2 linked regions of the Oryctolagus cuniculus genome follow. The protein of the gene in region 1 interacts with the protein of each later gene in a pairwise test. Links are inferred from orthologs where the notes say so. Each region holds a gene or a part of one and is shown in the gene's direction. Other genes may lie near its edges.

The links. The genes of interacting proteins can lie anywhere in the genome.
Region 2: the proteins of ZYX (region 1) and TUFT1 interact in binary tests that used the Homo sapiens proteins (3 or more experiments, as listed by UniProt). The link is inferred for Oryctolagus cuniculus from reciprocal best matches to the Homo sapiens genes ZYX and TUFT1.

What each region holds. Positions count from the first base shown.
Region 1 is NC_091434.1:180,377,547-180,383,276, reverse strand, and holds the start of ZYX (zyxin), read left to right. Parts: upstream 1-2,282; 5' UTR 2,283-2,312; coding exon 2,313-2,474; intron 2,475-2,604; coding exon 2,605-2,827; intron 2,828-3,312; coding exon 3,313-3,512; intron 3,513-3,669; coding exon 3,670-3,762; intron 3,763-3,875; coding exon 3,876-4,418; intron 4,419-5,730. UniProt on the Homo sapiens protein: Adhesion plaque protein. Binds alpha-actinin and the CRP protein. Important for targeting TES and ENA/VASP family members to focal adhesions and for the formation of actin-rich structures.
Region 2 is NC_091438.1:46,547,146-46,552,833, reverse strand, and holds the start of TUFT1 (tuftelin), read left to right. Parts: upstream 1-2,289; 5' UTR 2,290-2,435; coding exon 2,436-2,495; intron 2,496-5,688. UniProt on the Homo sapiens protein: Involved in the structural organization of the epidermis. Involved in the mineralization and structural organization of enamel.

The sequences.
Region 1 (5,730 bases):
CAGTAAAACTAAACCTGCCTACGCACTCTTCCCTTCTGGATGTATAAACAGGCTCAGCTGTCTAACAATTACACATACTCTATTTGCACAAGCACATTCCTTCAGGAGACACTGCGAGGGTAGAGGACTTTTACTCCTGCGAAGCTATCTGGAAACTACCTTAACTTTTTGTCTCCAGCCGGGCGTATTTTCAAGAACTGGTGATAAGACTTGGGCTCTGTAAAACCCAAGACTCAATCAGGAAATCCAACCTCAAATTTCTAATAGCCCTTCACAGGGACTGGCGGAGGACAGGCTTGTGCTGTCGGAGAGCTGTGTGCCTGTGCAGTTCCTAACGTACATGGCCACACATGCTTCTGCCTGTGAGACACTGGTGACGAGACGGTAAGATGCCAGAGCAAAGAAAAACCAAGACAGCAATGAACACGTAGTCTTAAGTACGATCACAGACTTAGTAAGGCAGCAGGAAGAAGACAGTGTTGCGCATTCCCAGAAGAGGACACATGAGGGGAACTCCTCAGTTTAACTGTGACAGAATTTCCATCCTTGGCAGAACTGAGATGTGGATGCTAATAATACTGAGGGGCCGGCGCTACGGCGTAGTGGGTTAAGCCTCCGTCTGTGATGCCAGCATCCCACATGGGTGCTGGTTCAAGTGTCGCTGCTCCTCTTCCGATCCAGCTCCCTGCTGATGGCCTAGGAAAGCAGCAGAAGATGGCCCAAGTGTGTTGGCCCCTGCAACTTCGTGGGAAACCTGGAAGAAGCTCCAGGCTCTTGGCTTCAGATCAGCCCAGTTCTGGCCGTTGCAGCCATTTAGGGAGTGAACCAAGATGGAAGACCTCTCTCTTTGTGTTTCCCTCTCTCTGTAACTCTGCTTCTCAAATAAATAAGTCTTTTAAAAAATAATAACACTGAGGATTATATAGCACTTGCAGACATGGCATTTCATTTACTTCTGTAGAATGCAGTAAGCGGGGTGGGTGAAACACCATGGCTCTTTCACAAGTGGAGAAGGGGAAGTGGGAAGAGGCCGGCTGGCCTGGGCGTCAGGCTGGCCCTAGCATTGCTCCACCTGACGGCAGGTGCTGGAGGAAGCCGGCTGCTTCGTGGGTGTGACCGGGCCCACCCCCTCAGCGGGCAGCCTCCACTTCCCCAGCGTGAAGTAAGGGGCGAGTCTGGATGCTCTCAAAAGCATCTCCCAGATGCTCCTTGGCAGTGGGGTTCAGTCGGTTTGGAGGGCCAGGGCGGAGACACTGAGTCAACAAGAGGTCTGTTTCAGATGTCACTCAGGGCTGATGGAATGAGAGAGTGGAGAGTGGGTGGATACTGGACTAGAGGGCAAAGGCCTAGACTCCATAGCTTTGCAAGCGTGGAGTTCAGCCACTGGGTAAGTTTCCGTGCGCAATTAAAAAATAAAAAGTGGCACTCAGGTTTGGTCTCCTTGGCGTAGCCTGGGGCTGAGCAACCCGGTCGGATGAGTGGGGGCTCTACCGAGCTGTGTCGCTCGGGAGGCTCCCGAAGGCGTGGGTCGCGGCGGAGGCTCAGCTGTGGCAGGCTTGTTGCTCGCGTCCACGTCTCCCCGGGTCCTACTAGATCCTCCGGCTGCCCTGGCCAGGGCTGAGCAGCCCCCTACCTACCTCCCTCGGGCCCGCTGGTCCAGAATATCTCTGGCGCAACTGATCCGCAGCCGGGGGCGCCAGTGTTGCGAATTCCTAGAAGCCTGCAGAGGCTGCCTAGGGTTGGAAGTTACGATACCCCTAGGTCGCAAGAGGTTCAGGCTCACACAGCCACCGATCGCCGAAGGGCCTGCCAGGAGGGCGCGGGACGAGAACGGCCCTGGTCCTGGTCCTGCAGCCAGCGCTGGCCGGTGGGTTCTCGGGGCGCGGTGCTGCCGACGGCGTGGGAGGTGCAGCCGTGAGGGTGGCAGGGCCGCAGGTAACTGCAGGCCCCAGAGGAGGCGGCTGGGCCAGGGCGGAGGCGCAAGGGGGCTGCTCGCTCCGTTGCCTCGGGGGACCCTTTCGACCTCCGCCGGCTCAGCCCGGAGTGGGGCCAGTGAGTCAGATCTCCGGCACCCGCTGACGGGCGCGGAGTTGGGGGTGGGGGGGCAGGTCAGGAAATGACATCAGAGGCCTGTGCTCAGGGAGGGGTGGTCTGCGACCGGCCAGGGCTGCGAGCACGGCTGGGAGTGCGGCGGGGGCGGGCGGACCTTAGCGGAGCCCTCGGCCCAGGGCAGGATCTGGGCCCCTTCCTGGGGGAGTTTCCTGCCGCGCCCGCCCTGTCTCTCCCCGCCCCCTCTCCGGGCCGCTCCTTGTATGGTCGCGGCGCCGCTCTCTCCCCGCCCCCTGCCGCCCTCCCTCCTCTTCCCTGCGTCCCTCCCCCGCCTGGCTGGAGGCTGCTCGGGACCGGGACGCACAGTCCGCAGACCCGGCGCCGAGGCGGCCACTGGAGACGCGGCGCGCACGCTCCGGTCCGCGGTGAGGCGCGGGGCGCGGGGCTCCGGGAGGCGGCGGGTGGGGGTCGTCGGGAGGCGCTCGGGCCTCCGGGGGAGTCTCCTGCCCAGCCCAGCGCAGTTCGGCGCCGCGTAACCTGGAGACCCACCCCCAGCAGCCCGGCCAGGCCATGGCGGCCCCCCGCCCGCCTCCCGCGATCTCCGTCTCGGTCTCGGCTCCGGCGTTTTACGCCCCGCAGAAGAAGTTCGGCCCGGTGGTGGCACCGAAGCCCAAAGTAAATCCTTTCCGGCCCGGGGACGGCGAGCCTCCAGCGGCAGCCGGGGCCCAGCGCGCACAGATGGGCCGGGTGGGCGAGATCCCCCCGCCGCCCCCGGAAGGTATGCGGCAGGGCTGAGGGGCTGGACCCCCGCGGGCGGCGGGGTGGGGGCAGTGGGATTGAGCAAGGGGCGGGGGGACGCCTGCAAAGGTAGCTGCGGAGGGGGCTGGGTGCAGCCACCCTGTCCCGAGCAGATGTTCTTACCTCATCGTGGAGCTCATGGCTGGGAGCCAGGGCTCCTGGGATCGTTCCAAGTCCCCGCCTGGGGGTGGGAGGCGGGAATGTGGGCCACGAATCTTCCCCTGTGGGTCCGTTTTCCCAAGTGTAACGGGAGCCGCACCACTCCTCGGCCGTGCCCCCCCACCTCCGGCCTTTCCTGACCTGTGCCCCCCTGGGCGCCCTGCACCCCTCCTTTCCCTTCCCGCACACTCCAGGACCCCCGAGGCAGTTCTTGGGTTAGGGTTAGAGTCAGAGCTGTGGACGGAGGGCAGCTTGGGGCAGCGGTGGCGGGGCCGCTGCCGATGGCCGCTTCTCTCCCCGCCCTAGACTTTCCCTTACCCCCGCCTCCCCCACCTGGGGATGGCGACGACGCGGAGGGTGCGCTGGGAGGTGCCTTCCCCCCGCCGCCTCCCCCGATCGAGGAACCGTTCCCCCCTGCACCTTCCGAGGAGGACATCTTTCCTTCTCCACCGCCCCCGCTGGAGGATGAGGGCACGCCCGAGGCCCCCATGCCGCCCCCGCCGCAGGTATGGAGGCCTGGGGAGGGGTCAGTGCACTGGGACGCCTCAAGGAAAGGAGAGAAGGGGGCCTGCTGTGACCTGCCCCTGTACCTCTGCCCTGTTGCGGGAGGGGTGGCGTGGGAATGGGAGACGGGGATGGATGCTCTGACCCCTGATCCTGTAGCCCAGGGAGAAGGTGAGCAGCATCGACCTGGAGATCGACTCTCTGTCCTCACTGCTGGATGACATGACCAAGAATGATCCCTTCAAAGCCCGGGTAAGGGCCTGGGGAGTAGGCACCCTGAGTGCCAGGGAGGAGAGACTGGAGAAGGAAGCGTGGAGGGCAGCCCCTGCCTCTAACTTGCTTCTCTCCCTCTGCCTCTCTTGCAGGTGTCATCTGGATATGTGCCCCCTCCAGTTGCCACTCCATTCATTCCCAAGTCCAGTACTAAGCCTGCGACCGGGGGCACAGCACCCTTGCCCCCCTGGAAGGCACCTCCCAGCTCCCAGCCCGTGTCCCAGCCTCAGAGCCAAGCGCTGTTCCATGTCCAGCCCCAGGCTCAGCCCCAGGCCCAGCCCCAGACCAAGCCTCAGGTCCAGCTGCATGTGCAGCCTCAGCCCCAGGCTCATTCCCAGCCTGTGTCTTCCGCTAACGCGCAGTCCCGAGGTCCTCCAGCTCCACCTCCAGCACCAGCCCCTAAGTTTTCTCCAGTGGCTCCCAAGTTTACTCCCGTGGCTTCCAAGTTCAGCCCTGGAGCCCCCGGTGGCCCTGGGTCACAGCCCAGTCAAAAGCTGGGACCTCCGGAAGCTGCTTCTTCCACTGGCACGGGTTCCCCTCAACCCCCCAGCTTCACCTATGCTCAGCAGAAAGAGAAGCCCCGCGTGCAGGAGAAGCAGCACCCAGTGCCCCCACCTGCTCAGAAGCAAAACCAGGTGAGGGGGCGAGATAGGTCAGGGCCGAGACCAGGGTGCTGGGGGAGGGAATCACAGTGGAGGTGGCTTGGGAGAGATGGGGTGGGCATCAGTGTGGTGGGTCCATCGGTCAGACAATGGGAAGGGAGAGAGTTTCTGCAGGGGCTGGCTGGGGCGTGGCTCCAGATTTGGAATTAGAGGATTTGGTGCACATTCTCTTGCGCTTCTGCCCTGGGAGGTTAAAGGGGAGGATGACATCACCGGTCCAATGTTGGTTTTTCCCCATTCCTGGGCCTTAAGTTAATCTCGCAGCTCCTCTGGTCCTTTCACTGCCCGAGGGCCCATCTGGAGATAAGAGCCACAGCCCCAGTAAACAAAGACTGAGCCAACATCAGCTGGATGCCAGGCACTGTGTTCTGTGCTCTGGAGTCTGGGACAAGGGAGCGAAGTGATCTCCCAGAGAGGTTTGGCCTCCGGGTGTCAGATGGGGCTGGGATAGAATCCCCAGCTCCACATCTCATCTGCTGTTTGGGCAAGTTAGGTGAACTCCAAGCCCCAGTTTCCCCTTTAAAAATTAACACTACCCCATATAGTGGTTGTGAAGAGTAATTGGATGAATGCTTGCGAAGTGCTGGGTTCGGTATTACATAAATGCCCTAAATGGAAAAGCACGAGGCAAAGCGTGCCCTGCAGTTCGGATGAGATCTTGTGAGTTAAAGCGACCCTGAGGGACCTCTAATCCAAGCATCCAGAGAGTCATCTGATAGCATCCATGTCTGAGGATACTCAGGTACTGTACAGGAAGAAATGCCAGGTGCCAGTGAGATTTGCGGAATTGCACAAGTTACAGGAACTCAGAACAGGGAGCCAGCCTGGGGCTGGCAAGTTAGGAAAGCCTTCCTGGGCTGGTGTGTCTTGAAGGGCCGGCAGGACTTAAGAATCCGAGAGGAAAGGGAATGGCATTTGATGGGAACGGCATGAGCAGAATGCAAGGCACAGCTACACAGGGGTGTTTGGAAAGCAGAAAGCAGTAGGTTCCTGTGGGAAAGTTCGTGAGCTATACTTAGAGACTAGGTGGGGGCTACGGGGAGTAGGCACACCCGGGGAGCTGGTGAGCACTGCGGGGTCAGTGCTTTGGGGTAGGTGTGTGGCTGGGTCTCCAGGGCTGGTGAGGCCAGTGCTGTTGGGAGCTTTCTGGAAAGTTCCTAGCAGAGACGTGTGGTAGAGGCAAGGAGGTAATGATGTGTGTGAGTTCACTCCCAGGCAGCAGTAACATTCATCTCAATGGAAAATAAGACCCATGTTTAGCACTGTTAAAAAGGAAGAGCCCATG
Region 2 (5,688 bases), on another chromosome or scaffold:
CATCTCGGCCATTCCTATGCTGCTCCTTCCCTCTCAGTGCCTTAGCCAGGGTGAGGAGATAAGGATGCTCTTCTTGCCTTTTGTATCTGCACATTCATACCTCTGCCAAGACCAGCCTGTCGCCTGCTGGCACCCTCAGCTCTCCCCGCTGCCCCGGTGACGAATCGAGAGCCACCTGCTTCTCTGGCAGACGGACTTTGTGTAGGGCCGTGAGAAGGTGGTGGGGGCTGGGGTCTGCTCAGGGCTTCCGTCCTCCCTCCTCTGTGACTACCGAGGTGGTTTTGAAGGAGCTGCACCTGGGAGCCCTGACTGCGGTCTTTACCAGTTCCAAAGCAATGGTCCCACTCTCTGCAGTCTTCCTGTGGCTTCTCTACCCAGATGCCCCCAGTCTCAGTAGGGAACCAAGGGACCTTCATTTTCTCAGGAACTTGGCCCTGGTTCAGGGTTTTTTCCTGGGCCCAGAAGGTGACTCTTGACAGAACTGGAACGAGGCGATGGGAGACTTCCTCCTCCTTTGGGTTTTGGGGGGACTGAAGCCCTGGCAGGGAGGGGGTTAGAGGGATGATTCACCTCGCATTTCCTGAGCAGGTCCTGTGGGCAGCCTGAAGAAGGAGGCTGTTCTCACCAACGACTTGTAATTTCATGATTTTAAAAAACTCTTATTTTCTTCTGCAAATCAGACGTTCTCTTCCAATCCAATGCAACCTTGACTGTACTTTAAATTAAATATTAAAATTATATATCTGCGTTGAGATTCTTGGCTTCGTATTCTTTTTCCTGGGCTATTTGGAAGTCCATGTTTCAGGAAGAAGTAATTTTATTGAACAGCTCAGAGGCTGAAACTGGAGTTTTCTTGACAGTGCTTTTCAAAGGCCCTTTACAACAGATAGAATGGGACCTTGGAGCTTAGGAAGTGTTCATAGCATTCTCCATTCTCTCCTGAATAACCTTCTGGGAATAGCAAGGCCAGAAAATGCCTTCTTTGGGAGCCAGTGCTATGGTGTAGAAGGTTAAGCCTCTGCCTGTAGTGCCAGCATCCCATGAGAGTGCCAGTTCAAGTCCCAGCTGCTCCACTTCTGATCCAGCTCCCTGCTAATGGCCTGGGAAGGCAGTGGAAGATGGCCCAAGTTCTTGGGCCCCTGCACCCACGTTGGAGACCCGGAAGAAGCTCTTGGCTCCTGGCTTTGGATCTGCCTAGCTCCAGCCATTGCAGTCATTTGGGGAGTGAACCAGCAGATGAAGATCTCTGTCTCTTTCCTTCTCTCTATTTCTGCCTTTCAAATAAATAAATCTTTAAGAAAAAAAAGAAAAAGATGCCTTCTTTGAGAGTTAGAGGGAGAACACACCAGAATAAGGTTTTATTCCCTTGAGTCACAAAGATATCTCCAGCATTCACCTCTTGGGTAAAAAGATCACCAGCCATTCCCGATTGGCCTGGGACGTAGTCTTTACCTTGTGTGTTGGGGAATCCTGCCCTTGTGTTGCCTTGAAGAAGGGAGTGAACCCTTCACTTGAGCCTATTGCCAGATATTGGGACGCTGTCCACTCTGGGGGGTGGGGTGGGGGGTCAGACCTGCCTCTGACATATTTGGGGGCTGTTGGTGTGGGTCATAGGCCAGTGGAGCAGCCCCCTGCTGAGAGCAGCTGGGCTGGGAAGAGGCTCCAGGTTCTGCTTGGCTAACCTAGGCCTCAAGATCCCAGCCTAAGCTTGGGGAGCAAATGCCATTGGAAGGCTGAGGCTCAGCCTTCCTCAAAACCACAGATTCCTTTAAAGGCCATGTGTCCCGCCTCTCCCTACCATATAAGGGCAGCTTTGGTATAATAGCCTCTGCAAAACAAGCCCCACCCAGAGCCTAGCTGGCTTTGACTTGGCCTGGGCGGCTTGCCAGGGAAGGGCACCTGCCAGACTGGCTTAGGCCAGTCTGAATGAGCTGGCCTTTGGTGCCCGCCTTTCTGTGGCTGAGGGAAGGTTGTCTCAGCTCCGCAAAACCTACAGGCTGGCTTATATACAGGAATGGGAAGATGTAGGGAAGCTTCTACAGGTTCCAGCTCGCCAGGGGCAGACAAGAGTGATTTCCTCTGACCAGTTCTGATGTTGGAGTTGAAAGGAGACAAGATTAACGAAGCGTATTGGGGTACAAGCACACTTCCTAGACGAAACTGTTCAGTTAAGCTGCCCAGGACGCTCCAAGCCACACCTCTACGTAAATCCGAGCGAGAGTCCACGGGGCGTGAACGAGAGCCCCTTGGCTCCGCCCATCTCACCTTCTCGCTCGTTCTAATTGGCGAACAGCGCCCGGGGGCGTGGCCTATCTTCAGGCCGCCTCCCGACGCTTCTATACAAGGGGGCAACCCGTCGCGCGCCAGCCTAGGAGAAGCCGGAGAAGTGGGGTTGGGGGCTGAGGCTGTGTGCTGCGGGCCCCCGCAGGAAGAAGATGAACGGGACGCGGAACTGGTGTACACTGGTGGACGTGCAGCCGGAGGGCCAGCCCGCGGTAAGAAGGCGCTCGGCGCTGTCCTCGTGTGCTCTGCCCGGCGTCTGATTCCCCACTGGATGCCCCGCGCCGAGTTCGCTGACATCACCTGGTGGCCGTCTCCGTGCGCTCAGCCCTTCGCGGCGCTTCCCTTTCTGTGTCGCCTCGCGGCGGACAGCGGGAGCCCCTGGGGGTGGCGGGATGAAGACCTTTGAGGCCCAAGGCGTCCCTGCCCTTTTAGGAGGACACTGCGGCTGCCGCCTGGGACTCGGCGCCCGTAGCCTGGGCCGCGTTCTCGGGCGTCCTGTGAGTGTAGGCTCAGGGGGCGGGATCCTTGTACCCTTTCGGACATCGTGTCCCACCAGGCAGACCGCGCTTTTCCGTCGGTCCTGGGGACCGCAGAAACCCTTCAGAGAATCTCCTGGCGCTTTGGGCGGAGGGTGAATACCGAAAGCTTGGGAATGGAGGGCCCGGGACGAGGCGGATGGGAGCGGTAGCACTCCTGCTGCTCCGAGAGACTGGCCAGCTCTGCCTTTCGTTAACCGGGATGGAGCTTTCCACCCGGGGGTCACCTCTCGCGGATTTCTCCTTCTTCCCTGTTGCCGGTTTTCTGCCCCCCCCCCCCCCGCCCCCCCTTCGGCCAACCCAGAGCTTCTGGGACGGTTTGTCGGTTTTGCTTCCGTCTCCAGCCGCCCAACCCTGGGCAGGTAGATGAAGGGGATTAGAATCTGAACTGAGAAAGGAGGGAAGTGACCCGTGCGAGGGTTTCCGGTTGGCGTGAGGGTTGTGGAGAGGTGCGGCTAATGCCGATCAAGGCCATAGGCCCCCTCCCCGCATTGCCTGGCCTCCCTCCCAGTTTTCCTCCCCACCCCAACTTACCATATGTGGCTGAGCGTTTCCAGGCTGTGCTGGGGAACTTAGCATGGGTGTGTGCATTCCATCGATTTCCAAGCTTTTGCGGGTGCCAGGTGATTGGGGGTCTGTGCCACCTCCTCCATCTGATCTCCTGGCTCTCTGCCGGTCTCCGCCTGCCTCAAGGTCGAGTTTATCTAGCTGCTCTGACTTAGGGCTCTTCTTCAAAGAGCGTGTGTGGTATAGGTGGTCATTTCAAGTTTAAGGTCCAGAGGATCATTTAATGGTGTTCACAGTCCCCCCTTCGTTTCTGCCACATTGCAATACAGATCTTGCTACTGCCCAATCGCCCACTCCCTCAGCCGTGGGACCCTGGAGAGGTGGAAACCATCCTCCTTGCGGCTCACTGTTCTGGGATGGTTGAAGCAGGGAAGATGGTTATGAGATGGATCAAAGGAGAGTGTGCTTGGACTTCTTTTTGCTTGCTGTAGGTCCAGAGGCCGTCTTGCGATCCAGGCATTGGCAGTGTTGGAATGAATTGTCACCTTTTGCTATCCTGTCATGTTTTCGCAGCTTGTCTGTTGGGGCAGGCAGACAAGGTAGGAACATAGTAAGCAAGGAATTCAGTCTCCAGCCACAGATCAGTGTACAGCTAGGGACCTCTAGAGCAAGGGGTAGGCAGAAATTCCACTCATTCTCTTCGGAGCCTGGACTTGGGACTTACTTCACTCTCAGGCTGGTCATGAAATAACCATCGCCGGGATCGGGGAGACATTCCTGGGCCCTTAAGGAAGGGGAGGAGATGGTAAACAATCAATCAGTCAGGAAGCAGGCTGTGTCCTGGATTCCTCTCTTCTGAGCCAGCCTACAGATAGAATTTATGACCCTGCACAGTCCCCAGGAAGTTCTTGTATATTCAGACCATTGAACCAGTGCTCAGTGCATGTACAAAGTGAGTGGACAGAAATATGCGCAGATGTCTCTTCTGCAGTTGAACTGATGAGGTATCCTAGTGGGAGCTGGCATGCTGGGACCCTGTTGGTGTCTCCCCAGCAGCCAGGCCTTACTTAACATGCCACATGTAGACATGGAAATGTGGCCGATACACTCTCCAGGTTACTTCTACTGTTGGAGACAAATGCAGTAGGTACAAGGAGCTGGTGTTTTTCAGTTGCAGATCATATAAGCATGGTGGGCTGGAACTCAACTTAGTGGGTCAGAACCAGCAAACAAAAAGAAATTGAATTAGTACTCTTGGAGTGTTAGCAAGGGTAGGACTTTTTGGCAAAACCTTTGTTTCAATCATAAGCATATTACACACATACATATCATGTATGTATATTATATACATACATGTTACCTATGTGTGTTTGCTTACTGGATCCTGATGTAAACTGTGTTTTTAAGTCAAAGTTTGCAAGCCACTATAGTATCTTTATACTGAAGGAAATGAATAAACCTTAAGCTTGTTTTCATTAGATATTTCCATTAAATTTCTTTGGTTACAGTAGACAACAGAGAGTGGGCCCAGCTAGCTTCAACAGAAGAGGAATCTATGAGAAAGAAATGGGTCAGCTCACAGAATTTAAGGGAAAGCTTAATAAAAAGTTCTAACCAGTGATTCCTGGGGCCTGGGAGGCAGTGATGGAGGCTTTCTGCTTCTAGGTGAATGGATTCCAGCTGTGTTAGGACTTTTTGCTCTGGGCTCCAGGGAGAGGGGGCTGCTGGCCTCTGCCTCCCCCACACGTGTTGGTAGCCGTGGAGGGGAACAGAAGCTGTATGGCGAAAGAGCAGATGTCTATGACCTTGGGCTTCGTCATGGATGATGTTTCACCCTCTTCCCCCTCCCTTGTTCTTTACTTCCATCATTTTTCATCAAAGGAATATGTGTGTATGATTTTTAAAAGATCTAATCGGGGCCAGCATTGTGGCACAGCAGGTTAAGCCGCTGCCTGTAACACCAGCACCCCTTCTGAGCACCGCTTTGAGTCCCAGCTGCTCCACTTCCATTCCAGCTCTCTGCTATGGCCTGGGAGGGCAGTGGAAGATGGCCCAAATGCTTGGGGCCCTGCACTGGGTGGAAGACCCAGATAAAGCTCCTGGCTCCTTGTTCCAGTCTGTCCAGCTGTGGCCATTGTGGCCATTTGGGGAGAGAACCAGTGAATGGAAAATCTTTTTCTCTCTCCTTCCCTTCCTCTCTCTGTAACACTTTCAAATAAATAAAATCTTAAAAAATAAAAAGATCTAATAATATCCAAAATACTTTTAAAAGAGACTAACAATCCTTACTCCAGGTTCTGCTCCAGGAAAGTAACCGCTTTCAACTCCTTTTCTAGTTCCTTTGTGTGGTGTTTGCCTCCAT